Linked DNA regions of Ovis aries. The protein of the gene in region 1 purifies or fractionates together with the protein of each later gene. This does not show direct contact. Links are inferred from orthologs where the notes say so. Each region holds a gene or a part of one and is shown on either strand. Other genes may lie near its edges. The genes, in order: CNOT6, TNKS1BP1 and CNOT1.

Evidence for each region.
Region 2: the proteins of CNOT6 (region 1) and TNKS1BP1 purify together in Homo sapiens (affinity purification with mass spectrometry; 3 studies listed by BioGRID and IntAct, with this or other methods). This does not show direct contact. The link is inferred for Ovis aries from reciprocal best matches to the Homo sapiens genes CNOT6 and TNKS1BP1.
Region 3: the proteins of CNOT6 (region 1) and CNOT1 purify together in Homo sapiens (affinity purification with mass spectrometry; 5 studies listed by BioGRID and IntAct, with this or other methods). This does not show direct contact. The link is inferred for Ovis aries from reciprocal best matches to the Homo sapiens genes CNOT6 and CNOT1.

Annotation. Positions count from the first base shown.
Region 1 is NC_056058.1:422,561-432,371, forward strand, and holds part of CNOT6 (CCR4-NOT transcription complex subunit 6), read right to left. Parts: coding exon 9,755-9,811; intron 9,674-9,754; coding exon 9,605-9,673; intron 8,379-9,604; coding exon 8,221-8,378; intron 7,412-8,220; coding exon 7,257-7,411; intron 6,519-7,256; coding exon 6,364-6,518; intron 5,476-6,363; coding exon 5,245-5,475; intron 3,503-5,244; coding exon 3,300-3,502; intron 1,338-3,299; coding exon 1,125-1,337; 3' UTR 1-1,124. UniProt on the Homo sapiens protein: Poly(A) nuclease with 3'-5' RNase activity.
Region 2 is NC_056068.1:79,347,639-79,357,449, reverse strand, and holds the start of TNKS1BP1 (182 kDa tankyrase-1-binding protein), read left to right. Parts: upstream 1-1,050; intron 1,051-1,426; coding exon of another isoform or gene 1,427-1,649; intron 1,650-1,982; coding exon of another isoform or gene 1,983-2,026; intron 2,027-2,053; 5' UTR 2,054-2,401; intron 2,402-2,946; exon of another isoform or gene 2,947-3,041; intron 3,042-3,387; 5' UTR 3,388-3,401; coding exon 3,402-3,495; intron 3,496-4,522; coding exon 4,523-5,153; intron 5,154-6,670; coding exon 6,671-6,740; intron 6,741-9,811. Other genes in the region: collagen alpha-1(I) chain-like, read right to left, coding at 1-1,050, 1,427-1,649, 1,983-2,026.
Region 3 is NC_056067.1:25,971,215-25,981,125, reverse strand, and holds the start of CNOT1 (CCR4-NOT transcription complex subunit 1), read left to right. Parts: upstream 1-4,496; 5' UTR 4,497-4,595; intron 4,596-9,911.

The DNA.
Region 1 (9,811 bases):
CACGTTCCAAAATGTGATATTCAATGCTTCACAATGGAAAAAACCCACAGCTCATACAAAAGGATTTTCATAAAACTCTCACAAATGTTAAACAGTATTTAAAAAATACAAAAGAGGATGCACAGATTTTCTCTGCATGCACAGGCAGTGCTTGGTGGGAACAAATTCAGGCAGGCACAGTGGAGATAGGACAAGAAGTGTCTCGAAAAGGAGTTAAGAAGCTGTACCTAAGCAGCCATAATTTTTTAACTTAAAAAAGTTAAGGATTTAAAAATATCAGAATGTACATACATCAACCATTACACATTCAGTCCATAAATGCCTTCGGATCATTCACTACTCAGATTATCTGTCCTGGTAAATAGTTTTTTGCAAAAATCCAGGAATTCATAGGTAAGTTGTCTCTAGTCCAAGCAAATGTCCTAAACTTTAAACAGAGTTAAATTTAATGTTTTCCATTTAAAAACAAAGTAGTACAAAAGGGCTAACAAAACCCTAACAGTGCAAATCATCAGCAGAGAAAGTCTGTTGCAACTTCTTTTACAAGCTTTATAACACATGAAACAGGTAAAAAAAACCTTAGCCTTAGATTACAATACAATCATTTCCAAATCTGATTTTTTTAGTACAAAATTTCATAAATCAGGTCTTCTGTGGATCATATACAATCATAAAGGCTAAATTCAAATTCTATATTTTACAAACAAGTCTGAAAAAGGAGGGAGTAAAGTACGGAAGAATGATCTCTGGATGTTATTACTGGCCTCAAAAAAGTAGTGCTACAGATTTCTGTGCAAAGAGAATATGCTGTTCAGTTTCCTATTTCAAGGCATGAAAATATTATATTGGATAGAAGAAACAGGAAAATTATTTGCAACAAATTAAAGATAGGTGCAAACACACCAATCCCTGTCTAACAGTATATAAAGCATACTGGGCTCAGAATTTGTTTGCTAGCACCTGGCTTTCATACTATATCCTTATCAAATGATCAGACTGAAAACTCAAATCATCATTAAGAAAAAACAAACCAACAAATCTTAGTGGCCATACCTCACTCCCCTATATTCAGAATTTTTACAAGTTTATGAGTAAAACTGAGGTCATCCTCTGAAGGTACTTGACTACCTCCTGCCAGGAAGGTGAATGCCATTAACCTGGGGCAGGAAAGGCAGTAAGAGCTCCAGTTGTGCAAAAAGTGAGAAGTGGTCAGAGGGGATGAGTGGGTGTGGGCAGCCGCTGATATTGTTCTCAACTAGCCAGTGGTGGTCCAGAGGTCCCAGAATGCCTAAAGTGTTCAGCTGAGGTTTAGAATAGAAGATGTAGTCAATTATACCCTGAAAAACAGAAGGCAAAAAGAAAAATAAGAAAATGACACATAAAATGACACTGAAATACTGAGAACTTTCAAGACATATCCTCAGTCGTGTTTGGTAAACAAAGAAATTTACTAGGCTGCAGAAAAGGGCAGTTATTACATAGATCAAATAACAACCCCAAACTGAGAATGAAGAAACCTTAGGGATGGTAATCCTTCTTCCTCCTATGTAGATCGTTTCAAAATCTTTAACGAGACCTAAAGAATCCTTCACGATACAGCCTCTGCTTCTTTTTCCTAACTTAACTTGTGACACTTTTCCTTGCTCACTACTCCACTGCCATACTAGCCCTTTTTGGGAAGCAGGGTGTGAACTGAGGTGCGTCTCCTGTAGGTGAGAAGCTCCGTCCTCCTCCAGGGCCGGCACACGTGTCTGCAACACTTTCTTCTACTTGTCACCTGACTAAATCCCTCTTAACCTTCAAGTGCCAAGTTTAATTACCTTCCCAAGGCCTTCTGGAATCCTACCCTTATCCACTTAAAGCTACCACCTGATTTTTTCCCTTGCTAATGTACACCCTTAAGTGCAACTATATACTCATTTGTGCGGCTGAAATCTATGTTCCCACCAGACTATGATGTCACAAAGGCCAAGCACATCTCTGCCTTTTACACCTTCAACAGCACTCAGGCACAGCATCTGGCACACAGCTAGGATACTCTTAGTTTGCTCCTCTCTGTCCAGTAACTGTAACAGTCTGTCCTTTACATGCTCTTGGCCAAAAGTATTTAAGCACATTCTAAATTCTTCCTAATTTTCTACCAGTAACAGTAGTCAGAAGGCAAACACCTCTAATCTCTCCCATCTTGTGGTTATCATCCTCCCCTCTTCTGCCATCAACCTCCTTGAAACGAAAATCTGTAGCTGGTTTTTTCACTCATTGCTCAGTTACTCTTCAACTCATTGTATTCTAGTTTCTCTGAACACCTCTACAGACAACTCTGAGCAAATCTTTCTGAAGCTTAACACTCACTCCTCTTTCCCTAGAAAGGCTTTCCTTCCTTGGCATTTAAGTTCCTTATACTGTCATGGTTTTCCACCTCTTTGATTACTATCATCATTTACATGTTAGTTTTGCCCAGTCTACTCTAGTCTCTCTTTAACTATACATACTCATCTCTGCCCAGTGTTAAATCATTATCTACGGTTCTATAGATCCTCGAAAGTCAAATAAAAAAATTTTTTAGTTTTCAAAAGTTTCTCAAAGGAGTCTAAATAACCCTCCCCTCTAAAATTAAGCAACAGTTAACACAAGTATTTGCACTATTCTAATAGACAATCTAACCTGAATGACTATTTTTTCAGCAGGTTAGAAATGGAAAACTAGGATTTAAGAGAGCAAAAATGCAAAAGATGGCAAAAAAGGACAATTGAACACAAGTCCTAAACAACCACAGATAATAAAAATGAGGAGAATTACTAGGAAAAAAACTCCACATTGTAATAATCCATTAATTGTATAAGAAGGCATATAAACAATATGTGTATTAGAAAATTTACAACAGCTAACAGTAAACTACATTTTGGTTCCCAAATAGTACAGTTTCAGTTAAACTGAAAGAGAAGAAACGGAACATCAAACTAACATCAAATAAAATACAATGGTCCTGCATATCCAGCTGTTAGTAATGAGCCCATTAAAAAAAAAAAAAAAAAAAAGCTCTAAAGAGATGACAGATAACTCAGGATTTAATATCATTATTTCATCTGATCTCTAACCTTAGAAATGATTCTAATAATATCTATAAAGTAGGGGTGGAATTCTAATCACATGGAATTCTACATAAGAATACTGCTGTCAGCTAATTTGAGATGGCTTAATTCCATTCTGAGTGTTAACATTTAAAGCCATCACAAAATTATAAAATGCTCTTGAAAAAAAAAATGGAGTTTTAAATGTTTCTTCATCTCAAAACTCACCTTAAAATCAAATGTGTAGTTGGTGTAAGGCATCAGGCCACTCTCATAGGCACTCTTTAACTTGAAGCCATGAGTGATCCTTCCATTGGTTGTCCCATTTTTCCCATTACAGCTGAAGTTCGTAAGACTTTCATTGTATCTCAGTTCCTTAAAGTCTTTATGATTTGTTTCTACTTCACCAGTGCTCAAATATTCTACAACACCTATAAAGAATATAAATGTACTTTCTGCATTGTTAAGTATAATATACAATGTGTAATACGTAACTAAACAGGTAATTCAAGAGTAAAGTTTTAAATCACACATATTCTCACTTTTTAAAATGTTTCACTATTTTCCACCTTTGCCAAAACTTGTATAAACACATTTTTTCCATGGTTTTAATCACAGTGAATATTTTACACTTTACCACATGAACTTATGTCATCTCAATTATTTTTTTTTAATAATTGTGTAACACAACAGGGCTGACATATAGTATTTGTTAAACCATTTCCCTATTTCTTAAAGTTCACGTTATTCCTTTTTTTTTTTTTTTAATTAACACCACAATCAACATCTTAGTATGTAGGCTTCTGCTCAGGGTCAGCATGAAATACCAACATTAGGATTCATTGTGCGTATGAATACATGAATTATGAAAGAATGACAGAGCCATCTCACCATCTCTGGACACTATTTTTCCAGTGTGCTAAGCATAAGGTGGGGCTTCCCTTGTGGCTCTGATGGTAAAAAAATCCATCTGCAATGTGGGAGACCTGAGTTCAATCCCTGGGTTCCGAAGATACCCTGGAGGAGAGTGTGGCAACCCACTCCAGTATTCTTGCCTGAAGAATCCCATGGACAGAGGAGCCTGGACAGATACAGTCCATGGGATCACAGAGTCAGACATGACAGAAGTGACTTAGCACACACACAGGCATAAGGTGGGCTCTGCAAATATTTAACTTTCATTTAATCACTTACCAAAACTAGACATTTTTCCATGTGTTTTGTTATTACAATGCAACATAGAAATGAGTCTTAAGATCTGTATCATGCGACAAGAGTCTCTCTTTGCCCCTCACATATTTTGTAGCTAAAGAGGATGAAAAGCAAATAAAGAACTTTCCAGTAATCCCCAGATGGCTTTGATGAGACAGACTAAAGAATTATGGATCTTAGGCACCTTTATCTCCCCCCAAAACAGATTTTAACATAAATTCTGTTTCATTATCTTTTCTTTCATCTATTGTGACAGCAGCAATATGCTACTGAATTTAACTACTCCAAGTGTGTGTGTGTGTGAATGCATGCATTCAGGCATGCAAGTAAGTTCAAGGGAAAGTTCTCTTGAGTATCCAAGAAAGTACGGTTGTTACTCACTGTACTATCTATGGAAAAGTTTAAGATTAAGGCTTTCTGTATCCTTCCACTCTGTGACTAAATATCAACATTCTTGATCCTTTTTTTGTTAAAACCACTGTCTGACCTGTGTAAACAGAAAAATCTCAAATTCCAACTGAGGTGCACAATGTTTCTAATCGAGTCTACCAAAATTTGAGGCTGGGTGATATACGGTCAAATTTAAACTGGATTAGATTACCACATGCTGGAATCCCAGAGTCTGTCTTAGTAACCTTTTCAGAGTCTGCAATACATAGAACATGGGGATAATAATATATGCCCATGTGTTTTCTGAAGATGATTAACATCTGGATAATATCCAGAGGATAATACCATTACCATTTACTATTTCATTTTATAATGAAGTGGTAATAATACCATTTCATTTTCAAAATGGTCTCCCTACTCCACACACACAAAAGATTTTTAACCTGATTGATAGCGGCCACTATAAACTGAATTTTCATTTTGACTAGATTTGGAATTATCAGAAACAACACATTACAAAAACATTTTAAGTCAGCAAGTGTTCTATGTAAGATAGCATTGTTTTGTTTACCAGAGTCCGGCAAAGAATTAAGATCTGCACATAACACTAGTGGAATAGTTCCAAATTCTCCTAATACATTGGACTGGAGACTTCTCGAGGCTTTATCAATAATATTCTTCACTTCTGAGAGGAACATCATCGTTTGAACCAACTTCACATCGGAGTATTCAGGGTCCCAGTGCATATGAGCATTAGCCACGAGAATAAGCTGCTTTTCTGTTCCAAGATGTGGCTTTCCAGCTATATCAGATAAAAAGAAAAGAAACAAAGCCCATATATTCTCACATGGTCTGAAAGCAAGTAATATCTCAGAGTCCCGGGAATTTAAAAAAAATGCTAAAATCTGGTTGAAAATCTCCCATCTAAAAACTGATCTACCCTCTGCAACAAACCTGAGAAACAGACATCTGGCCTCTGGGATGAGGACTTCCAGCACAGGGTATTCACTCTTTGAACAGAGAGCCCATACTATTTGGGACAGCTTGGTTTTTAAATAGTTCCAGCTCCTTAAAACTTCTGATTTTCTAGATGTCCTAAACTGAGCATCACAAAATTAAACGGACATCCTTTTTCTTAAAAAAACATTTTAAAAAGTCACTAAGTTCCATCTTCCATCTTTTCTATCCCTCAGATTATATATCCCCATTTCCAGCTGCTCCTCAGGTGAAAGAAGTCTCAGTTCTTACCATGATGATCACTCTCTAAATATACATTTAATCTGAAATAGGTGGTCCATTTCTCCAAGACTTAAGACCTTTAAAATAATGACTAAAAGCAGGTCAGGGAGAGAAGTCAACACAGAAATATCCTTGTTGCCAAGAAATTGTATTACGTGTACAGAATTCTTCTCTCTGAGCAGTTATTTTAACTAATATTTACTTCAGTATTTTATGTGACAAATTCTCGAGCAGAAAAAACCTTGTGTATGCCTTTTAAGATTTGAAATACTTTTCTAGGCAATGCTTCCTCTTCTTGAGCTTTGCGGTAGAGAAAACTGGATGAGATTTTAGAAAAGATTTAAATTCTGAATTTCTTCAGGCATTAGACAAGAGTATTACTATGAAACATTTTGTGTCGTCTATTCCATTTTGGAGGCCAGATTTTATAGGAAGTGAAAAGGTCACTCACATGATACTTCAATCAGTTCCTTTCGAAGCTCTAGCAGTACAGCCACTCCTATGTTATCTTTCGTCATGACTCTGTTCAGCATGGCTTCAGACCCTTCTGAATTTGCCATTGCTAGTTGATTAAATTCAACAGTGTGTTTCTGAACCAAAGTAAATCTAAAACAAAACACACACAAATATAAAATTGGGGATACCAAGACATCCATTTTGTGGTAAATGCAATTTCCCCCCAACTTCCTTAACAGACATGATGACATGTAAATTACATTACAGAAAATCCTCCACACTTAGCACTAAGCTTCCCGTGTCCATTTCAGTTGCTCTCAGTCTGCCACAGATACAAATAACATCTTGAGAAACTTTTACAACTTAAGATAATACAGTCATCTTAAGACAATACAGTCATCTTCTATTTAGGTTTCATGCTGGAATATTCCATCTTACAATTTTAAAATAATTTTCTTCCAAAGTATGGGCTTAAGAATCTCTCTACCATCCCAGAGGGAATGCAATTACAAAGTGTTTCAATTAACAACTGGAGTTAAACCCTAGAAGACACCTGAAAAAACAGCAGAACTTTCAACATGTCTTCCAAAAACATTTTTTCTGATGAATCAAAACACCCTTTAAATCATAGTACTGTTTTCTTGAGAAATAAAATGTGCCTCATTCTCTTAGCTGCCAACTAATTTCCATTCCCTTGACCCTCATCCTGCAAATTCAGAGAATATTTTCTTTTCAAGAGTAAGATGACTGGGGAATTCCCTGGTGGTCCAGTAGTTAGGACTCTGACTTCCACTGCAGGGAAACAGGTTTGATCACTGGTCAGGGAACTAAGATCCCCACATGGCATGGACCCCCCAAGAAAAAGAAGAAAGAAAGAAGATGACTTACTTTTCTGTTTTAAAAAATATTGCACAGCCATCAACATGTTTTCTTTCTTGCTCTGACATTGTCCTAGCTCTAGATTTAGGACTAAAGAATCCATTATAGCCACGTTCTTTCAGTTCTACCAGAAAAAAACTGTAATACTGTTCTGTTTCAACTTCCTGAAAAATTGTAAACAGCAGTTATTTCATAAGACAAAAACCAGTCCTATGCACTATCTTTATATGTACAGTTTGAGACCTTAAAATAAATTCAAAGGACTGATCTGAAGAATGAAGAATTACATCTTTTCAATGTAATTTATCTGAAATCAGTCACAACACCTACTTGTCATTTTACAGGTACCTGTTAATAAAGTACCTCTTTGCTGTTTAGGAGTAAAGAATGGAAAGCCATATACCCCTATGCATATGTATTTCCTTATATTTTATATTTCCTGATATATATATTTCCTTATATTAAAACTGGTATAAACAAAAATCAGAACAGGAGAAGGAACTCCACAGATCAAGTTTCAGACCACAAGGAGAAAGTCACTTGCCAAAGGTCATGTAAGTTATTATGAGGGTTGGACTGAGAACCCAGTTACTGTCTACCAGATTCAATGTTCTTTCCACTTGGCCCTAATTATTCAATTACCACTGGTAGTAAAGCAAAATTATACCTTGACAGTGCCACCCGATTAAAAATAGTGTGGAAGGACATAAAGGAGGAGCAGGTAAACATTTAGCTGTAATAGCAATCACCTAAACACCCAGCGTAACCCATTTGCTTAATTTGGCAGCACAATGCTAAAAGCACAGGATGCGGCGAATGTTCCCAGAATTCAGTCAATACAGGAAAAGTCTGTATTTTAAGAACTGCGAAAGCCAGGACTTCAAATGTGTTAATGTAATGCATACTCAAGCTACTCCTTGCTTGATCAAGGGGCATTTCTGCAATTTAAACAAGGATTCTTCTGATGACTTACCTGAAGACTTATGATATCAGCATTGCAACTCAAGATTTCTTGAATAATGGCCTTTTTCCTGTAGTCCCAATTTAGTGCCCATGATGGACAGTAGCCATATAACTGCCGGGTCGCATATTTATCACAAAGAACATTATAGCACATGACAGAAAACAAGGCTGTAGGAAAGATAACTTTACTTATTCACACACGTGGCAGAAAAAGAAAATTAATTTTGTTTCACTTAAAACTAAGTTTGACTTTATTCATTCAATAATATCCTCACAGAAAAGCTACCATATGCCAGACATGGCATAAGTCAGATAATAAAGGAAGAACAGATATATGAACAAATATAAATAATAATTGTGTTTCCCACTACATAAGTACAGACAGAAGGTTCAAAAGGAAACAGACTAAGATCTTGAGTCCTTCAGCTTCTAAGACCAAGGCTCCTCATTTCTATGCTCCCTCCACCACTTCATCAATTATTCATGTAGAATGTAATCTGACATTTATCTAAGAAAACATACGTTTTTTCTTAACAGCCATCTCTGCTCTTCTTCTACAAAGCAACTATTAATTCACATGAAAGAAAAACACCACTGCACACCCAACAGAAGTGCCCAAACTATCTTCATACAATTTTAAAAGATTAGAGGTCATTAGTTTGATTTCTCTCTCAAGTAGGTGTTTTCGCTTTCTTATAATTTTGTATTATCATACAGCTGGAATACTGCAGAATTTGGGAAATTACAATATAGAAAGATGTGGGTGTATAACTGAATTTGACCAATACTTGAGAACAGAGTTTCTCAAAAGCAGCACCACTGACATCACGAGTAGGTAATTCTTTGTTGTTGAGGGCTGTGCTATGCACAGCAGCATCTCTGATCTCTAGCCACAAGATGCCAAGAGCACATCTACCACTTGTTGACAATGAAAAAATATCTCCAGACGCTGCTGAATGTCTTCTGGGGGATAAAACCGCCCCTGGCTGAGAAGTACTGCCTTATACCAAACTTTCCTCGACAATGATTATATAGAGGCCAGTTACACCTGGTAGCTCAGACAGTAAAGATTCCGCCTGCAACGCAGGAGACTTGGGTTCAATCCTTGGATTGGGAAGATCCCCTGGAGGGGGAAACCCACTCCAGCATTCTGGCCTGGAGAATCCCCATGGACAGAGGAGCCTGGCGGGCAACAGTCCATGAGATCACAAAGAGTCAGACACGACTGAGCAACTTCCACTTCACTCACACAAGCCTTTATTATCATCTTCAAACCAAATCAACCTTAAGTGTTCTACTGTAATACTGCCCATAAACTAAAGCATACCAACAATACTATTAGGTTTATAAAGACAAAGTAAAAATAAGATTAAAACAAAAATCAGGTTACCAACCAGTTGGCCGTGTTCTGTCTGGTTCTTGTAACATAATCCAAGATCTTGGAGGTGGCTGTTCTGTTGAAACTAGTTGAACATAAAACACAAAATTAAACAATATTCTTAGATGTCTTTCTAAAAATATGGTTTAATCAAATGACCACTTACTTCTTTTTGCAGTACCTGCCAAATTATCAAGCAAATAGTTCAGTAGCCTTCTTGTTC
Region 2 (9,811 bases), on another chromosome or scaffold:
AGCCGGGGCGGGCCCTCGGGGGCCGGGGCCGGCTTCGTTTGCATGCTCCCCGGCGAACTCGGCGGCGCGGGGACACTGGCGAGGCGCCCCAACACTCGCTAGGCGCCCCGGGGGCGGGGCCCGGCGGGCTGTGGGCGGGGCAAGGGCGGGGCAAGGCGCCCCGGAGGCGGGGCAGGGGCGGGGCCGGGAGCCGGCCATGCACCCCTGGGGCGGGGATAGAGGCGGGCTAGGGGCGGGGCTGAGGGCAGGGCCCGGCGGGCCGTGGGCGGGGCCGTGGCGGGCCCAGGGCGGCCCCGCCCGGGCTCCTCCAGGCTCGGTCCCGCGGCGGCGGCGGCGGCGGTGGCTGAGACTCACGACGAGGTGTGGAGCGCGGGCCTGGTGGAGCCGGACCTCCGGGGAGAGCGTGAGTGCGCGGGGGCGGGCCCAGGGCGGGGGCGAGGCACGGGGGCGGTGGGCGCTCTTGCGTCGAGACCGCGGCCGAGATTGGGGGCGGGGGGCGGTCACAAGGAAAGTTTGCACGGCCCGGGGGTCCGGGGGCCCGGGCGTACGCGCGGGGGCGCAGGGAGCAGGGCCTGAAGCGCGTGCCGGCCGAGCCCGGGAGGGGGCCGAGGCTGCAGGCGGAGCCCGCGGCGGGCGGAGCCGGCGGAGGGACCCTCGCCCCCTTCTCCCCGGCTGGCCCCCCGCCCCCGGCACGCCCCCGGCCTCCCCAGCCCGCCCCCGCCTGGCGCGCGTCCCTGGGCCCCGGTCCGTCCGTCCGCCGGCGGCGCCCCATCCCGCGCGCGGGGCCTTCGCCGCCCCCTCCTCCAGCCCGCCGTCCCCTCCCCCCGGCGGCCGCTGCCCCCTGTGCCTGGAGCTCCCCGCCGGGCCCTTCCAGACGGCCCCTCGCCCCGGGCTCTCCCGTCTCGCGGTTGGCCCTCCCTCCTGCGGCAGTGTTCTCTCCGGCTCCGGCCGGAGGGAGATCTCAGGGTCGGCGGAGGCGGCCCTGCCTGCGGCGAGGCTTCTTTGGGCCTCCGCCTCGGGGCAGGAGCCGCCTGGTGTCTCCCCTGTGCCCTAAGGGTCCAGCCGGTCTCTGGACTCTTAACGCGTGGGGGATGCTCAGAGCCGCTGAGATTTTCACAGCTCTGCCCTCCGGCCCTGGTCACCCGGGTTTCCCGCTGGGCGTCTGAGCTGCTGAGACCCCGTCCTCAGTTGGGGGAGTGAGCCCTCCCTCTTGGGTGCTACAGCTCCCTGCCCGGCTGAGCCTCCAGGTGAAAGGGTTTTCGGTTCTGGACCAGCTGGTCTCCATTCCTAACCACCCACACCATGTATCCCTGGTAATAACGTTCAAGGACAAGGAAACAGCCTTGCGTTTTTTTTTTGAATTTTATGTTTTCTGCCGCGTGCCCCTCCTCCACGCACACTCGGGCCGGCTGTGAATGTTACTCACCCACCCACAGCGCGCCTGCTGCACCGGACTTGGCTGACCGGACTTGCACGGGCCTGGATGTCTCTTTTCCTCCTGTCTAGTCCCTCCTATCTGGGGAACAAGCTGGGGCAGGGTCAGAAGTGAGAGGTTTTCCCGGAAGTTGGGCACCTGAGGTCCCTTCTTTGGATCTGTTGCTATCTTGCCAGACCAGCTGGAGTGGGTGACTTTGGGCAAGGCAGGGCCCCTGCAGGTTGGAGAGGGTTGGGTTGTCCTCAGGGACCCCATGCATGCCAGGTGATAGGAAACATCGCTTTTCCTTTGGAACAGAGGGCCGGGGGCTCTATCAAGGAGGCAGGGGCAGTGGTCAGTCCAGGGGCCTCTTGTGGGTGGGATGGCGCTTCAGGACCCAGGATGGGACCTGAGGAAGTGGTGGAGTGTCTGAGAACAGGTGACAAGACTGGGTTCTTCGGGAGACCAGGCGTGGTCCGCAGTGCTGGCAGCCTGTGGTTGGGGGAGAGGACGAGATGGTTTCCAAGGGAAGCCTCCTAATAGGAGCCACCGTTTAATGGCCACTTACTGGGTGCTGGCCACTGAGGTCGGCAGCTGCACGGATCGTCTCATGTGAGCCTTTTTTTTTTTTTTTTTTAGTTTTGGCCACACCTCCCAGCATGTGGGACCTCAGTACCCCAACCAGGGATCGAACTGGTGCCGCCTGCAGTGTGCGGTGGAAGTTTGGAGTCTTAACGAGTGTGTTAAGTCTCAGCGTGTTCTTCATACAGGGAAACAGGTTTAGAGCAGTGAGGAAGGTGCCTGAGGTCACAGAGCTGGAAGGCAGGAGACCCACCCAGCATTTGAATCCTGGTGGAGCAGACCCGGAGCTCCAGTTACAGGCCGAGAGGAGGGGCACCCGTTTGCTCTCGGCCATAGGCTTCTGTCATGTGGGTTAAAATATCTTCCGCAGTCTCCCTCGAAACCCCTCGGGTCAGGCCCAGGCTGGTGAGTGATGCCCAGGTAGCTCCTTCTGGTCAGCTGTGGACCCTCCCACGGTGACGAGCCCAGGAGGGGAGCCCTAGGGAGTTTTTCCCCCAAGCCACCCCGCCCCCCGGATGTTCTCGAGCCAGGTCTCATTCTCCCAGCCCCGGGCCTGGGCCGGCTCCTCCTTCCTCTTGGCGAGGCTCTGGAAATCCAGTGGGAGGCCATTGCTATGGCAACAGGACTAGGCCCTGACTTTACCTCATCAAATTCCAAGCCGAAGCCAAAGCGATTGAGAAATTAAAGGGAAAAAAAATGTATTCCAGATGTTTACTTTTTATTCCTTATTTTTCCGTGTTTGGATGAGACGGCTCTGGAGGAGGCGGGAGTCGGGGCAGGGACGTGGAGGGAGGAGGGGGACTCGGGGGGCAGGGAGGGAACCACTCCCAGCGGCAGGCCAGGGAGCGGGAAGGGGAGGCCCGCGGGGCAGGCGGGTGTCGGGGCGGGGCCCAGGTTGGGGAGGAGCGGGTTTTTCCCGTCTCCCGCGAGGTGATTCACCCGGAGACTTCAGACTTGGCAGCCCTCTTGCCCCGGCCCTGAGTTGATCCTTCGAGCGGGGTTCCCGGACCCAAGGAGTGTGTGTGTGGGGGGTGCCTTGGGAATGGTAAGTGGAGTGCCCTGGACAGCTGGCTGGAGGAGGGAGCAGGGGGCGGCTCGTCGGACCTGCAGGACTTTAGGGTTAGGAGACGGACTTGGAGAGCTGTCGCAGGGTCGGGGGGGGGGGGGGGGGGGAGCGGCCAGAGAGGAGGACGTGGCCGCCGGGGACCTCCCGTGACCTCCCCCAGCGCCCCTCCTGAAGCGCCCGCTTCCTGTCCCGCACTGGCCTCCGCCAGAAGTCAGAGACGGCGCGCTGCCAGCGCACAGCTCTCTGGCCCTCTCTCCGCTCTCCCTCCTTTCTTCCTGGGTCTTCCGCCGCCCCCAGCCCACACCGCTCTGCCCCCGACTCCCAGGTCTGCCGCATGTGATGCAAGAGTCTGCTCCCAGGGAAGGCGCAGCCATGGCCTCCCCCGCGCCCCGCCAGCCGGACGAGGAGCTGGTGTCCGCTGGCTCTGAGCCAGGTACCTGTAGGTGCGGGGTGGAGCGGGCTGGCTGGGAAGGGGGCCAGAGGCCCGAACCCCCATTCGGTCTTGGGGGCTGGTGGGTGAAGGCTGACTCTGTTGGGGAGGGAGGGAGGAGTCCTGAGGACCAGCGGGAGGAGCCCTCTGCTCCGGTGGAGACCCTTCGGAACTGCGGATCACAGCTCTCCAGCAGAGAGCACGCTAACCTTGGAGAGGGTGTGGATCAAACCACCTGTTTGACAGAGGAGGAAACTGAGGCCTGGGTGTGGGGGCGGGGAGGGCATGCATCTTTGGGCTTGGACCCAGGCCTCCTGGCTCCCTGTCTAGACACCTTTCTTGCGCCGAGTGGAATGAGTGGGTGATAAAGGATCCTATTAGCAGGGCTGTGGCCATGAGTAATTCAAGGTCTTTTATTTGGCATTGAAATGCCTTATATAGAAGGTATGTTTCTGGTCTTTTTTTTCCTTCTGTAGCAGATTTCTTTTTGTTTGGCTTAGGTCAATAGTGAGATTGCCTTCCTGGTCTCACAGTGGATGGTGGCGGGGAGGTGGCCTGGGTGTGCCCCTGAGGAGGGGGCCAGCAGGGTGGCAGGGTAGGGAAGCTGAGCTGGGAGAACGAGTTTGCTGTGGATGTAGTTTAGCAGAATGGCATGCTCTAGGGAAGGACCAGACTGGGGGAGATGGAGGGCCGACTGCCTGGCGTGGGCAGGCAGGCATTCATTTATTAACCCATTTGGTCGTCTGGCCATTCACTTGGTAAGAGTGGGTACAGTGAGAAATAGCTGCCAGCTGGGGCCTTAAATGGCTTTTCACTTTTAAGGGTGACTGGCTAGACATTTCAGGAATTTGGAGATGAGGGAAGATGTTTCTGGGATGTGTCTGGAAAATCCAGGAAGCCTTCATGGAAGCGGTGACATTTGATTTGTACATGGAAGGGTGTGGGAACATTCTGAGTACATAGGGTGGGAGGTGAAGTTCTGCTTCCTGTTCTTCTGACATCGGCTCAACCAGCCTTTTCCTTTTGGTAGGTGACCATCGGGCCAAACCCCCTGTCAAGCCCAAACCCCGAGCCCTGCCTGGCAAGCCAGCCCTGCCTGCGAAGCCCAGCCTGCTGGTGCCCATTGGGCCTCGGCCTCCCCGGGGTCCTCTGGCCGAATTGCCTTCTGCCCGGAAGATGAACATGCTGGCGGGACCCCAGCCCTACGGCGGCAATAAGCGGCCCCTTCCGTTTGCGCCAAGGCCTGCGGCGGAAGCCCTGGCTGGGGGAGAAGGCACCCGGGAGCCTGGGAAAGAGGAGCCTGGGAAAGAAGAGACGCCCCCCTTGACCCCTCCGGCCCGATGCGCCGCCCCTGGGGGTGTGCGCAAGGCGCCCCTCCCCTTCCGCCCAGCCCCGGAGCGCTTCGCCGCGCCCACGGTGGAGGAGATCCTGGCCAAGATGGACCAGCCCAGGAAAGAGGGCCCGGCCAGCCCCGACCGCCTCTGGGGCTCCCGCCTCACCTTCAATCACGACGGCAGCTCCAGATACGGTCCCAGGAGCTACGGCATGGCCCCAGGCCCCAGGGATGATGCTGGGACCCTCTCCAAGGAATGGTCCCAGGAGGGGCCCGCGGGGTCTCCTGCCGACTGCCCCGAGGAGCCCAGCGAGACCCCCGAGCAGAGGTGAGGGGTGGGGGGCTGTGTGTCTGGTTGCGGCCAGCCTGGAGGACAGGGTGGGTAGTCTCCTGTGAGATGGTGATCTTCCCTTGGAGGTTAGCTGTGCTGCACGGCGCGTGCGTGCGGGTCAACCCGTGACAGTCACGGACCACCCACCGCCCTCCCCGCCCCGCCCCCTTCCGCAGACTGAGTGAGTGTGTGCTTCATTCTGCAGTCGTCCTCTGCACAGAGTCCGTAGGAGAATTCAGATGTATAGCTTGGAAGTTTATTTTCAGTGCTTTTTTAATATGGGGAGCCAAACTCTGCCTCACTTAATCCACAGCTATCCTGTGTAGTAAAGGCAGTATTAGGCCCATTTTAGAGATGAGGAAACTGAGGCTCAAAAGTGACTTCCCCTGGTCCCTTAGCAAGTGACAGACAGAGCTGGGGTTAGAATTAGGGCCTCTCTGATTCCAGTGTGTGCTCTTAACTGCTGGCCCGCCCTGTGGGTGCAACGGTGTGCCAGGTGCTGGGTGTGTGTGTGTGTCTTTGTGTCTGTGTGTATCTGTGCTGGGGTATGTATCTGTGTGTGTGTCTGCTGGAGTGTGTGTGTGTGTGTGTGTGTGTGTGTGTGTGTGTGTGTGTGGCACAGCCTGGCCGTGAAGAGGAGTCTGACAGGAGAGGAAAGCCGTGAACACCCCTTGACGCCAGGCCAGTGGATGTGAGCATGCGGGCCACACAGCTGGGTTGGAGACCATTGCGGGCAGCATCCCCTTTCCCAGAGCCCGTGCCAGCGTGTCCTGGGGGCTCCTGACCTGGATGTGTCCCTGGGCCCCGGGGAGGAGGCTGAGGGTCCCAGCTGCCTGGAGCATCCTCAGGGCAGGGAGCACCAGCTTGGGCTCGTTGCCCCCCAGGCCCCGCAGCTCTCTGGCCCCGCTGACCCCGCTCCTGCTGCGGAGAAGGCCCTGCCGTGGTCTGAGCCGAGCTGGAGGCCCAGAGTCTCGCCTGTGGTGCCCGCCAGCCTCTCCTGGGAATATGGACACCCGAGGCCTCCTGTCCCCCTGGGCTCCCTGGAGGCCTGCTCTGTTCAGGCTGGGTTCCGCCCTCTTTCCCCTCCTTTGCTCCCAGCCTGGCTTGAAAGGAGCAACCTCGACCTTGCAAAATTCCTCTGGTGGTCTCCCTCCCCCTGCAGTTCTCCGGAAGCGTTGGCTGGGGAGGGGCCAGCTGCCCTGGCCCGGAGAACCCTAACCCCTCAAGGGCTCTGGGGTTTGGTGGTCTTACCAGGAGCCCCAAGGGCTCTGGGCCTGCGCGGGCTTTTCCCAGAGGGGTTGGGGGGGCTTACCTCCTGACATGCAGGTGGGGCACATGCGCTGGCCCTGGGGTGCTCTCTCTCGGAGCCGCCAGAGTTTTTGTCCCCTGGGAGGACGTGCCCCTGGCGGGGTGCACGTCAGGTTCTGTCCCGGTCATCAGGCAGACCCCTGATCACCCCTTCCTTCTCCACCTGCGTGATCCGTGCCTCCGTCTCTCCTCTTTCTCCCTCACAGGAAGTGCCCCTCGGACCTGGCCTTCAACGGGGACCTGGCCCAGCCGGCGATCTCTGAGCCCGTGACTGACGTGAGTTCCCTACCTGCTATGACGCAGTCTCTGAGCTGGAAGGGCCTCGTTTGTGCCTCTCTCCCGCCTCCCTCAGTTTAGCTGGGGAAACAGAGGCTGTGGAGGATGTTTACGTGACTTGCGTCAGGACTCAGATTTCTCAACTTCCAGGCCACCCTGGCTAAGTGTGGCTGAGGCCCTGAGGCTCCTACAGTGTCCAGGATGACTGCCCTGGACAGCCTACTGTCTGCTGGGCAACCTCGGGGATGTTGACTGACGTAACCCGGTCATAACTCTGACTGAATAGGCCCCTCAGGTCCCATGCGAGAGGTGCGGACGCCGGGGCTTGAGGTGCCAAATAGCTTGCCCAGGGGCTGAAGGCAGGATCCGAGTCCAGCACGGTCCCTGGCCAGGCCTGCCCTCTCGCAGAAGAGGGGAAGTGATGTTTCACGGGGGTCTTCTGTTACAGCCCCTCTGCCCATGGTGTGCTCGGGGGTGGACAGTCTGCGTTCCCGAGTAGATGATGCGAAGGGTGGTCTGTTTTGCTCCCAGAGCCCTTGCTAGCTGGAGGCTGTCCCGTCCAGCAGGGGGAGAGACCTGAGAGTGTGCATTTGTCCAAACGTATTTATCGAGCATCCACTGTGATCCTGGTGCCGGGGAGACAGCCACAAGCAAAGCGTCCACAGTCCCCCTGCTTCCAGGAAAGCGTGTGTCCATCCCTCACTCTTGTCCGACTCTTTGTGACCCCGTGGACTGTAGCCCACCAGGCTGTTCCGTCCACAGAGTTCTCTGGGCAGGCATATCGGAGCGGGTAGCCGTTCCCTTCTCTCAGGGGGCTTCCTGACCCAAGGATCGAACCCAGGTCTTCTGCCTTGTAGGCAGATTCTTTACTGTCTGAGCCACGAGGGAAGCCCTTGCTCCCCGAGGAACGCGCCTTCTAACGCGGGGAGGCAGACTCCAACACTGGGCGCCCTGTGACCCGGCAGACGTGCAGAGCATCAGACAGGCACCTGGGACCCCGCCTGCATGGGTCCCGGGGCGAGGGTGACGGGAAGTCCTTGCCAGGAAGTGGGGCATGGGGTGAGCTCTTGGATGTTTGGGGAACAGCCTTTTTGGCAGAGGGAGCTGCAGCTACAAAGGACGTGGGCTCCACCCAGCGAGGAAGCTGGGGTGTCTGGGTCACAGACTGGGTGGTGATGGGCCACTCGGGGCGGGGAGTGCTGGCTTGCAGGAGGGAAGGAGGCCACTGAGGGGCGGGAGGAGAGGCGTGACCTTGCTGCCGTTGCAAGGAGTCTCCCTGCCCAAGATCTTGGCCAGGGGCAGCAGCAGGGGCCAGTCGGGGGGTTCTGGGGGTCACCCTGGTGAGAGACGACAGTGCTGTGGATCCTGGAGGCAGTCCCTGGGGGAGACGGTGGGTGGGTGGGGCCTCTGATGTGAAGGTGGAGTGGACGGGACTTGCAGGCAAGGCTGATCTGGGGGAGTGAACGGAGAGTGAAGCGTGCCGCTGGGGGTCTATGGCCCAAGTGGTCGGGAGGTTACCCTTCACGGAGAAGGGGGCCTTCGTAATGTTGGGAAGACCGGAGGAGCTTGCTTCTGGATCTGTTGAGCTGGAGACGCCTCATCCCACGGGGTCCGAGGGGGTCAGTGGGGCGTTTTGAGTCCGGAGCTGCAGGGACTTGTCGGTGTGCAGATGGCCCTGGAGTCGGCTGGGGTCCCCGAGGGCATGGGTGAGGCGTGGGAGGGAGACGAGGCCTGGCAGAGGAGCCCAGGAGATGCAGGAAGGAGCAGAGGTTAGGAGGGAACCCTGCTGGCGTGGAGCACAGGAGCTGCCCAGGCTGGAGGAGGGACTAGGGCGGGCGGTCAGCGATCAGGTGGTGCCTGCGGGGCAAGGAAGGGGCGCCCTGAGAATGGGGGGTTGCATGGGGGGTCGTGGCTGAACTTGGCTGGAGCGGCAGGGTGGTGGAAGTGAAGAAGGGAGCCCATTTGGAGGGGGCTCAGCGGAGGCCGGGCCCAAGGCGCTGAGGTTAGAGGTGCTGAATGCAGAGGCCGGGTTTAAGGAAAGGGGTGCAGCTGGAGAGATGGGAGGGCTGGACAGCAGCATGTGTGTGTTCTTTAAGCCAGAAGAAATGAGGGCAGTTTGTGTGCGGATGGAAACGGTCCAGTAGAGAAGGAAAAAAATCTGTGATGCTGGACACAGAGAGGAGGGCTTGGCCTGAGCTCTGAGCAGGGACGGCTCAGGAGTGGGGCGCCCGGGTGGGGGTCTCTGAGTCCTCGGGGAGGGAGAGCAAGGCCCTCAGCCCGGAAAGCCTGGGCAGAGGTGCAGAGGTTTGAGGACAGACTGGATGGGAAAGCGTCGCTGGGAGGTGGGGGTGCATGGAAGGGGGATGTCGTGAGATTGCTGGGCGTTCTGGCTGAGCCCGGGGCGGCTGCGGCTGCGGCTGCAGGGAACCCACCATCCCAGCGGCGGCTATCTCCAGCTGCTCTGGTGCAGTCTGGAGCTGGGGCAGAGCTGTATTGCATTAGGTTAAACTGGAGTTGGGGAGGGGAATACAGGGAGTTCACACAATGGTGGAGGAGAGAGGGGAGTGGGACGGGGAGAAGGGAGGAGACAGGCGGAGGGGAGGGAGAGAGGGTGCTGGATGGACGGGGGTGGACACAGGCCAGCAGGTCCCCTAGACCTGACGCTCCGGAGGGGCTCTGGCTGAGGACGAGGTCTAGGGTGGACCCTCAGAGAGGTGGGCTCTGGGGAAGTCGGGAAGAGGAGGTCAGGGAGCGGAGCCAGGATGCTGGATGGGTCAGTTGTGGGGCTTCAGGAACCGCTGTGAGCTCTTTACCAGGGGCAGCGCTTGGGAGAGCGGCTGTGGTCCAGGAGCTCTGCTCTGAGGGCGGAGGGGTCTGTCCTGGGCTCTTGGAGGAGGGTTCCTGGGGGGCGTGGTTTAAGGGCACAGGCTCTAAGTTAACCTGGGACTCGTCTGCGCGGGCTGGAAGGATCGGAGGGTGGCCTTGACGCGGAAACAGGATGCCCCCCTGCCCAGGCCCAGGGGTCAGGTGGTGGTGGGCAGACAGCCCTCCATGGGAGAAGGTGGGGGGCC
Region 3 (9,911 bases), on another chromosome or scaffold:
CCTATTTGGAACCAGTCTGTTGTTCCATGTCCAATTCTAACTGTTGCTTCCTGACCTGCATACAGGTTTCTCAAGAGGCAGGTCAGGTAGTCTGGTATTCCCATCTCTTTCAGAATTTTTCAGTTTATTGTGATCCACACAGTCAAAGGCTTTGGCATAGTCAATAAAGCAGAAATAGATGTTTTTCTGGAACTCTCTTGCTTTTTTGATGATCCAGTGGATGTTGGCAATTTGATTTCTGGTTCCTCTGCTTTTTCTAAAACCAGCTTGAACATCTGGAAGTTCACGGTTTAGGTATTGCTGAAGCCTTGCTTGGAGAATTTTGAGCATTACTTTAAGCACCTCCAAACATTTTTTTTTTTTTTCAAACATTTTATAACACAGTTTTCTGCAGACCTCAAAGTCTCAAAGTCCTTTGTCTTCTAGGTATTTTTGCCTCCACCCCAAGCCAATTCAATAAGGCTTTTGTTTCCTAGCACTTACATATTCTTCTCTAGGCTATTTTAAGAAACAGTTAAAAGAGTTTATATAGTTCTTCCAGAGTCTGGTATGCACAATTAATTGGGGGGTGAAGGATTGGAAGAAGGCTGAGCAAAGAGGCCAGGTGAGTAATTAACAGCTGGTAAAAATATCATGTTTCTAATTATGTTTGAACCCCAGAACACATAATTGCTGAGTTACAAGGTGATTCAATTCTTTGTGAAGGTCTCTAGTAAACTACTTTGTCTGGGCATGACTTCCAACTATGTCTTTCAATAAAATGAAAAAAGTATACCAGGTGATCTCCACTAACCCTTCCAACTGGAAAACATTCTATGCATCTCTCTCCTTTCTAGTGAGTATAGAAGCCACTCAGAATTCATGATAACACACAGTTGAAGACCTTTGATCTCCAAGCTATTTATGTGGGAGTCCTTGCAGGTACTAGGCTAAGTCCCCAAAACAAGTCAAATCCTAGGAGTAGTGTTGGTGTAGCTGGGGCTGCGAGTTTGGGGGTGGGAGGGAGGGGTTGGCAGTGGACAGAAGGGTCTCCCAGAGCAGCCTTAGGGTAAAGATAAGCTGAAGTGGGGAAAGGCAACTTAGCTTTATTTCATTCAACTTACTTTACTTTAGGAGATTTATGTCTAAGACCAACGACAATTCTAGTTGTAGAATTACAGCATTGATCTTAGATAGCTGACCTCTACAGGTATCTTTTTTAAAAAATATATTTTAAATTATACAAATGAAACATGAATACATCCTATTTTCAAAAGTTCGAATCTATGGTAATAAAACAAAACAAAGGTCAATCTTGTCAAAGCTATGGTTTTTCCAGTGGTCATGTATGGGTGTGAGAGTTGGACTATAAAGAAAGCTGAGTGCTGAAGAATTGATGCTTTTGAACTGTGGTGTTGGAAAAGACTCTTGAGAGTCCCTTGGACTGCAAGGAGATCCAACCAGTCAATCCTAAAGGAAATCAGTCCTGAATATTCATTGGAAAGACTGATTTTCAAGCTGAAACTCTAATACTTTGGGCACCTGATACAGAGAACCGACTCATTGGGAAAGACCCCGATGCTGGGAAAAATTGAAGGCGGGCGAAGAAGGGGACGACAGAGGATGAGATGGTTGGATGGCATCACCGACGCGATGGACATGAGTTTGAGTAGGCCCTGGGAGTTGGTGATGGACAGGGAAGCATGGCATGCTACAGTCCATAGGATTGCAAAGAGTCAGACAGGACTGAGCCACTGAACTGACTGACTGAAAATAAAACAAAAAGCAAAAGCTCCCATTACCCTTCCTCATTCCACTTCCTACCCAGGGATAACCAGTTATGTCAGTTGGGGGAAATGGCGTTATCTTTTCAAATCTTTTAATACACTTATTTACAGGTAAATACAAATATAGTTCCTTTCTCCTACACAAATGGTAACATACTGATTATGCCATCCGTTTTTGGTTTTGTTTTTCTTATTCTGCACCTAACGATTAACAATAAATCTTCGAATCATTCCATATTAGTACCTACAGACTTATAGTTTTAAAAAACTTTGCGGTATTCCATACTCTTATTCATCTTCTTTTCTATTGTGTCCAATCTTTTAGGACCTAATTAACCCCATCAATTAATATCTTTAAATATCCATCTCTGTACAAATTTGCAATATTCACCTGTGGAGTAAATTCTTAGATATTGGATCAATGGGTCTATGCATTTTCAGTTTTGATAAATCTGGCTAAAATTCTGCTATCCGTTGAGGTTTCAGCAATTTTATACAACAAGGTATAGGAAGGACTTATATTCTCATCCTTGATTCCCTGGTGGCTCAGACAGTAAAGCGTCTGCCCACAATGCAGGAGACCGGGTTTCGATCCCTGGGTTGGAAAGATCCCCTGGAGAAGGAAATGGCAACCCACTCTAGTACTCTTGCCTAGAAAATTCCATGGATGGAGGAACCTGGTGGGCTACAGTCCCTGGGGTTACAAAGAGTCAGACACGACTGAGAGACTTCACTCACTCACTGGTCTGTTTAAGGAATCTTCTATCACTAACATTATAATGTTTTAAATCCAATTCTCCATCGCATGATTTTTCAACATTTATTTTCTCACGTGTCTGTCAAGTGCCAGGCACTGTGCTAGGTGCTGGGATACAGCTATGAACAAGACTGAAGTAACCCTTCCGCTTATTGTACATGGGGTCCTTGGGTATCCTACACGTATTTGAAACCACCAGATACTCAGTTAAAGTTTGCTGGAAGAGTTGGCGTTCAATGAAGGCAGGTGTCAAAAAGTATTTTTAGGAGGTTAGAGAGATCAGTCAGTCACAAAAAGACAAATTATGCATGAGTCTACCTGTTCAGTTCAGTTCAGTCGCTCAGTCGCTCAGTCGTGTCCGACTGTTTGCGACCCCATGAATCGCAGCACGCCAGGCCTCCTTCTCCTGCCCCCAATCCCTTCCAGTATCAGAGTCTTTTCCAATGAGTTAACTCTTCACATGAAGTGGCCAAAGTATTGGAGTTTCAGCTTTAGCATCATTCCTTCCAAAGAACACCCAGGGCTGATCTCCTTTAGAATGGACTGGTTGGATCTCCTTGCAGTCCAAGGGACTCTCACGAGTCTTCACCAACACCACAGTTCAAAAGCATCAATTCTTGGGCGCTCAGCTTTCTTCACAGTCCAACTCTCACATCCATACAGGACCACTGGAAAAACCATAGCCTTGACTAGACGGACCTTTGTTGGCAAAGTAATGTCTCTGCTTTTGAATATGCTATCTAGGTTGGTCATAACTTTTCTTTCAAGGAGTAAGCGTCTTTTAATTTCATGGTTGCAATCACCATCTGCAGTGATTTTGGAGCCCAAAAAAGATAAAGTCTGACACTGTTTCCACTGTTTCCCCATCGATTTCCCATGAAGCGATGGGACCAGATGCCATGATCTTCGTTTTCTGAATGTTGAGCTTTAAGCCAACTTCTTCACTCTCCTCCCTCACTTCGCTGGATACAGGTGACCACAAAATCTTTTTTTAACCACAAAATCTTAAAAAAGATGTTTCTACATTTTTTTCTCCCGACAGCAAAGGGCATAAGTATTCCTTCTGCTACCACTAACAGGGACTAAGCCAAACAAAGAACCCGAGAGTTTCCTATTTCTCCGTAGGGAGTGCCTTCTTCCAGAGGCAGAACTAGACAGGAAAGTTCTCCTGACCGGAGCATGAGAGGACCAAATGGGACTACGTTCTCCAGAATGCATTGCTCTTCCTGGGGCGTCGTAAATGAGGGAGGAACTCGCACTACTTTTGCGACAGGGATGGGCGGAGGGGGAGGACTACACATCCCAGGATGCAAAGCGCCAGAGCGCTAGTTAGAGCCTCGCTTGCTTGTAGTTTTCTGGTAACCGGCGTTCCCCGCCAAAGAGACGCGGGGCAGGACGGGAGTGTTTAAGATTGGGAATCCCCGTGGTCTACCGGACACTTGACACTTCGAAAGAGAAAGGAGAGTACTGGAAGGCTGTTTTTCACTCTAACTCATAATAGTTCCCGCGCAAGGTGGAGAAGGCTTAAGGGCCCCCTCCTTTATTTAGTGTTTCTCAGAGGCTTTGCCAGACCCCCATTGGTCGAGGATCTCGAGGGCAGGTGGGAAGTCCATGAAGCCCCAAATCGAAGTTATCTGCTTCTCCCCATTGGCCCTCGCCTCGAGCGCAGGCGCGAGGGCTCCGACTCCAGTCCCTGGGGACTGGTGAACGGCAATTGGCCAAAGCCCGCGAAGTAGGAGTCTGGATTGGTAGTTGCTAGCAGGAGCCTGGTTTCTTCCTTGACTTCTGCAAGTGATAGTGTGTGATTGGTTTAAATCCGCGGGCACCTGTCGATGATTGGGCGGGAGCCACAGGCGGGGTGCGCTCATTGGCTGGTGCTGGGTCCATCCCTTCTCGGGCGGGCAGCAAATGATGAAATAGGAACGGGGAGGGGAAAGGCCGCGACGTGAGCGCGCGACCTCCGGCGCCATTTTGTAGAGAAACAAGCGGAGTTAACCGAAGAGGGGGTCTAGGAGAACCGGAGTCGGGGACCCAGGAGTTTCCTGTGTCCAGCGCCGTCGGAGCCGCTTGAGGTGTGGTGGGCTGGGGTCGGGTGCCGAGGCCGACAGGCGGTGTCAGCTACGGAACTTGGGTGCCGGTGCGGGAAGGAACGGGGGTGGTCCCGGGGCCACTGGGAGCGTTTCCCGGGGCTCCGAGGTGTGAGGGGCAGTCGGGACGGGGAAGTGGCGAGGCGGGAGAGGGCGGACTGTCTCCCCTCGGCCCGCGGAGTCTTCGGCCTCTGGAGAGAAGAGGGCTTGGTGAAAGCTCTAGGAAACCGAGGGCAGAGCGCGGAATGAGACCCGGGATTGGCCCCCCCTTGCCCGGGCCTGGCGGCTCTGAGGGCGGTGTTGGCGGCACTTGGGGGCGGCTGGGCCCTCGCTTCGCGCGGACTGCACCCTTCGCAGACTCCACGAGCTTCTCAACTGCCGGATGGGTGCTGCGGGCATCGGCCTCGGAGGCCTAGCTCCGGGGAGGCGGGGGGGGCGAGGTGCCCGTGTTCGGAGTAGTTGCCGACTCCGGGTTCCTCTCGGTGGACCTGGAGCTGCCAGTCCCCCTCCCCCGCCCCCAGCACGTTGTCAAACCCCGGGTGTTTCGGGTGTCCGCCGGTGGGAGGGGCGGGCGGGAGCGAGCACTTCCTCATTACTTCTTGCCACAGGTTTTGTTCCACTCGCGCGCCCGGGCGCTCACTCAGTCTCCAGAGTCGGCCCCCACCCACCTGGCTCAGTGTCTGTTCTGTAGTAGTGGTGCTACTCGCCCAGGAGAAGAGCTCTCGTAGTGAGCCGAGCATTTGGGAGGCCTCCGTGAGAGATACTATGGGTCTCCAGGGGGTTACATAAGGCCAAAAGCACAAATGTTCTTTTTCAGTCCCACCCCCTCTGCAGATTTCACCCAAGTGGGTTCCCACAGATGAGTACCCTTCCTAGGATTAAACTTTAATGCTTGATGTCTGTGGGTTTGGAGATGTGTTTAAAATAAACTTTGAGCAGGAAGCTTTTCCCTTTGAAGTCACTCAAACATCACATATTTTAGGACTCTTAAAAGTTTTTTTTCCTGAGAGTATTAACTCTTAGTCTCTCTTTTTATTTCTCTGTAATTCAGTTGCCTTGGGGAGTTTAACAGTTAATAACTGAGTGAGCATAGTTGGTTACTTTTTGCGGAGAAAATTCTGAGTGTTTACCTCGTGACAGTCCGTTTGATAGGAGTAGGGATACACGGATGGAAAAATGATTGGACAAATACAAAATCAGGAAGTAGGTCAAACAGATTAAGAACAAACTTGTTTATGTAGAAGTATTTGGGCTTAATATCCTCAGGTTGTCATATCTGTCCTTCCAGAGATTTGGCAGTGTAGTATTTTAGCTCTTAATAAGATATTTGGTAACAGTTTAAATTATCCTGTTTTAGGACATTCCAAATTGTTACCTTGTCTAAGGAGAAAATGAGCTGATGATACATAACGTTGTAGGCATCTAGTTGTGCTTTGAAATGGTCGCATGATAATACTTGTTTGGAGAGTTGGTCCCTTTTCAACAAGTGAAGGGTCCCAATTCCTTCCGTGGAAACAAGGCAGAGATTTGACCATCAGTAACAACGTCTTACCCTCTTCTTGCCTAAGATTGTAATCTTAGCAGTTTTAAGGCACCTTTTTCTGGCATTATTGTGGAACAACTGAAATGCTTTTGGTTCCTAACTCAAATGGATCTCTGGCTTAGCCAGAGAGAAATACAGTCTCTTAGATTTCTGCTGGGGTTTTAAGTACTGGTCTCTTTAATATGGATCTTGTCAGGCTAAGTACCGTAATGTCCTCCTAACTTTGGGTTAAGTCATTAAAAAAAAAAAAACAGAAGAGGAAATGCTTATTTCTTGACAGTATGCTTAAAGACTAATATCAAATTTGCTTGAATGTTCCTTTTTCCAAGTATATTTTTGGTTAGCTCCTGATCTAGTTACGAGAAGTTTCTTTTTAACCAACTTAAGTTTATGAATTTATGAACTTGAATCTTTATTTCATTCTACTGTGTAACAAATCTTTGTTACTCAATACTATGGAAGAGAATTTACCTACAGTAATTTAAATTGGATGCCCAGATTTTTCAAGACACTTATTTTTGGTAAGATGTTTATGATTCTTGAATTGTCAAAATTTGGAGAAGGCAGTGGCACCCCACTTCAGTACTCTTGCCTAGAGAATCCCGTGGATGGAGGAGCCTGGTGGGCTGTAGTCTGTGGGTCGCTAAGAGTTGGACACAACTGAGCGACTTCACTTTGACTTTTCATTTCCATGCATTGGAGAAGGAAATGGCAACTCACTCCAGCGTTCTTGCCTGGAGAATCCCGGGTCGGGGTGGGGGGCTGGTGGGCTGCTATCTGTGGGGTCACACAGAGTTGGACACGACTGAAGTGACTTAGCAGCAGCAGCAGTACCAGTCATAAACTTGGTGTTTGGTTTTTTTTTTGGTAAGAAAGCAAAACTAACTTGTAAGTCATTAAAAAAATATTGGTTGAAGCATTTAACTGGCCCTCTTTCCAAACTGAACTTCCTGTGGGGAAGTTTCAAAATGGCATCCTACTGAGTCTTATTTTAAGACCTTATATAAAGAAAGATCATGCAGTTCCTTTCCTATTTGCTCACAATGTTTAAGAAGCATATTTCAAAGCTAAAATGGGCTCAAATCCTTCATCCTTTTATGTACACAATAGTTAATTTTAAGGTACTTTTCATTCATGTATTTGCGGGAACGTAGCAAAGCAAATAAAACAAATTATTCGTTGAAAAACTCGTTTGAGAAGTCAGTAGAAGTGTAGACTTAATTTGAAATCCTGTGTTAAGATTTGAAGGAAATACAGCCTTTGGGAGTATGGAGTATAGGTTTGAGAAATGCATTTCTGGAAAAAAAAATGCATTTCTACCTCTAGGCTAAATTAGAATGTTGAAAGAGATGTTAAAGTGTCTGCAGTGGAGGTGTAGGTTTTGTTGTTGTGGGTTTTTTTGTTTTTGTTTTGTGGTGTTGGACTAATTATATGAAATGTAAAGTGAAAGCATTATTTGAAAGATACCATTTTATTGCTCTTAAGCTTCCTATTAAGAGCTCAACACTTCCCCTTTTAGATAATTAGTTTGAAAGTTTGTCACCTTGGATTTAGAGCTCTTAGGTTTGAAATGCAGCGGTACTGTTAATTTTTTTGTGAACTCATAATCAGAATAGTTACTTCTTTGTTTCAGACCCTGTCTTTTTTGCATTAGCTTTCTAACTGATCTCCAGTGTTTTTTGTTTATTGGATTTCTTTATTACATAAATAATACATGAAAATGTTGTAAATGTAAATGATTCCAGGAATGCAGTTAGTTTTTTATATTAAAGACAAATTGTCTACCAAGTCATTGGTTTGAATCTAGGCATTCTGTACTCAAGTTTTTCAGTACTTTGACCTATCACTGTGTAAGTATTGACCCCTCTGTACTCATAGCAACATGTTACTAACTTACGGCGTAGTTAAAAGGTTGTTGCAGAGTGGTTCCCAAATGCATTTTTGCCCCTATTATCTGGAGTGTCATCTGTAGTTACCAAAACACTACCATTCCAATTCATATCCACATGTACTGTCTATAATCTTTTCCCTGATTTCCCTAAGCAAAATTAATTTCTTCTTCCTCTTGGCTAGATTCACTTACCTGTACCATATATTGATTTGTAAGTTTTCTATCCTACTTTGTAGTAGGTAAGGAGTCTCTCATCCTCCAAACACATACAGTTGTCCTGAGTTGTAATTGAATAGTGCTTCCATTTGTTACACTTGGGTAGATTTATTGAACATGGCGTTCTTGGAAAACCATATACCCTGGTTTTTGTTCTTTGAGGGCACAGGCTGTTTCTCTTCGAGCTATATATACTTAAAATTCAGTTGACATCTTTTAGAAAGTTAAACTTTGAAATCTAGTCATACAGAATTAATGGTATGTTTAGAAAATTGAAGCCCAGGAAATTGAAGTGACTTCCTTAGATTAGTGTTAGACCAGATTTTCTTACTCTAGCCCACTGTTGGTTCTGTCTTGCCATACTACTAAAGTACAAGGAAAACTTTGATCGTTCATCAAAAAGGTGAGGATAATCTATGATCAACCACTTATTTTTGGAGGACAAGATACAAAATTTGAGTTTTTCATCTCTTCAGTGTGAAAAAATATAAAACTCAAGTATGACAGAAAAGATAGTCTTTTCTGTTACAGTTATTGAAAGTGGGCATTACTGAACTTCAGTGTAATAAACTTGTATTTATTTCTTTTGAGGCCTTCAGAGGATGAGTGGCTTTAAAAAATTTCCTTTTTTTACTTAAATTTTAAAATGTTCTTCACTGTAAATGGAGTTGTGAGACATTTGAGTAAGTTTTCTCTTGGTGTAGTTAGTTTTAAGGCATAGCTCTAAGAAGAGTTCTCTTATTTTTTAGCAGTCTTAAATACATGGCATAGCTTTGTAATTTTGCACATGTTACTGGGAAGATGCTTCTGAATATTTGATTTCAGATCAAGAACTGATTCTTTTCTGATTTTGGAGTAAGCATGCTTTTTGAGCTCTTTTCACTTTTTATAAATTGTTAGTTGCTAACACTGAACTGAACAATTGTTTATAAAGTATGCTGATGTATGGATTGTAGTCTCTTAAAAGTGTGAAGAGACTTTCCTGGTGGTCCAGTGGTTGAGACTTTACGCTTCTACTTCAGGGAGAGCTGGTTCAGTCTCTGGTTGGGAAACTAAAATCCCATGTGCTGCATGGCCATAAAATAAATAAAATTGTGAAGCTATCCACACAAGGCTATTAAAATGTTTTTCAAGTTAGTATTAAGATTCCATTGCCTTGAGTAAAATTAGCATATTTGAAGTAAGTCAACTCTTGATCAATTTGTTTTTATCCTTGGCAGAGCTTTCATTTCAAACCAATTTATTACCTGTCGACTCTTATGCCCTTGAATATTTCCTTATTCCTTGCCAGGTGGGTTCTAAGAAAAAGTTTTACACTAAACCTTTCTAAGCCTGGGAATACACAGTTTGGGGGTGTCCACAATTTGAATTACTCATGCTGGTGCTCTTTGTTCTTTAGGTAATGAAGAGATATGGATACCATGTATAGTCATTATGGCATGAGTATTTTAGGAATAATCCTCTTCCCTTTTCAGACAGTTATGCTAGATGTTACAGAAGTTGAGATTGTCAAAGGTAAACTTTAAAAATTCCTTGAAAGTATTTGATTTTTGTCTTCTCCAATCACTAAGCCCTCAAGGACTGGCAACTACAAAATGTTGGTATGATAAATTGCTTTAGTATACTAACCTAGTTTTGGGATATGTGTATA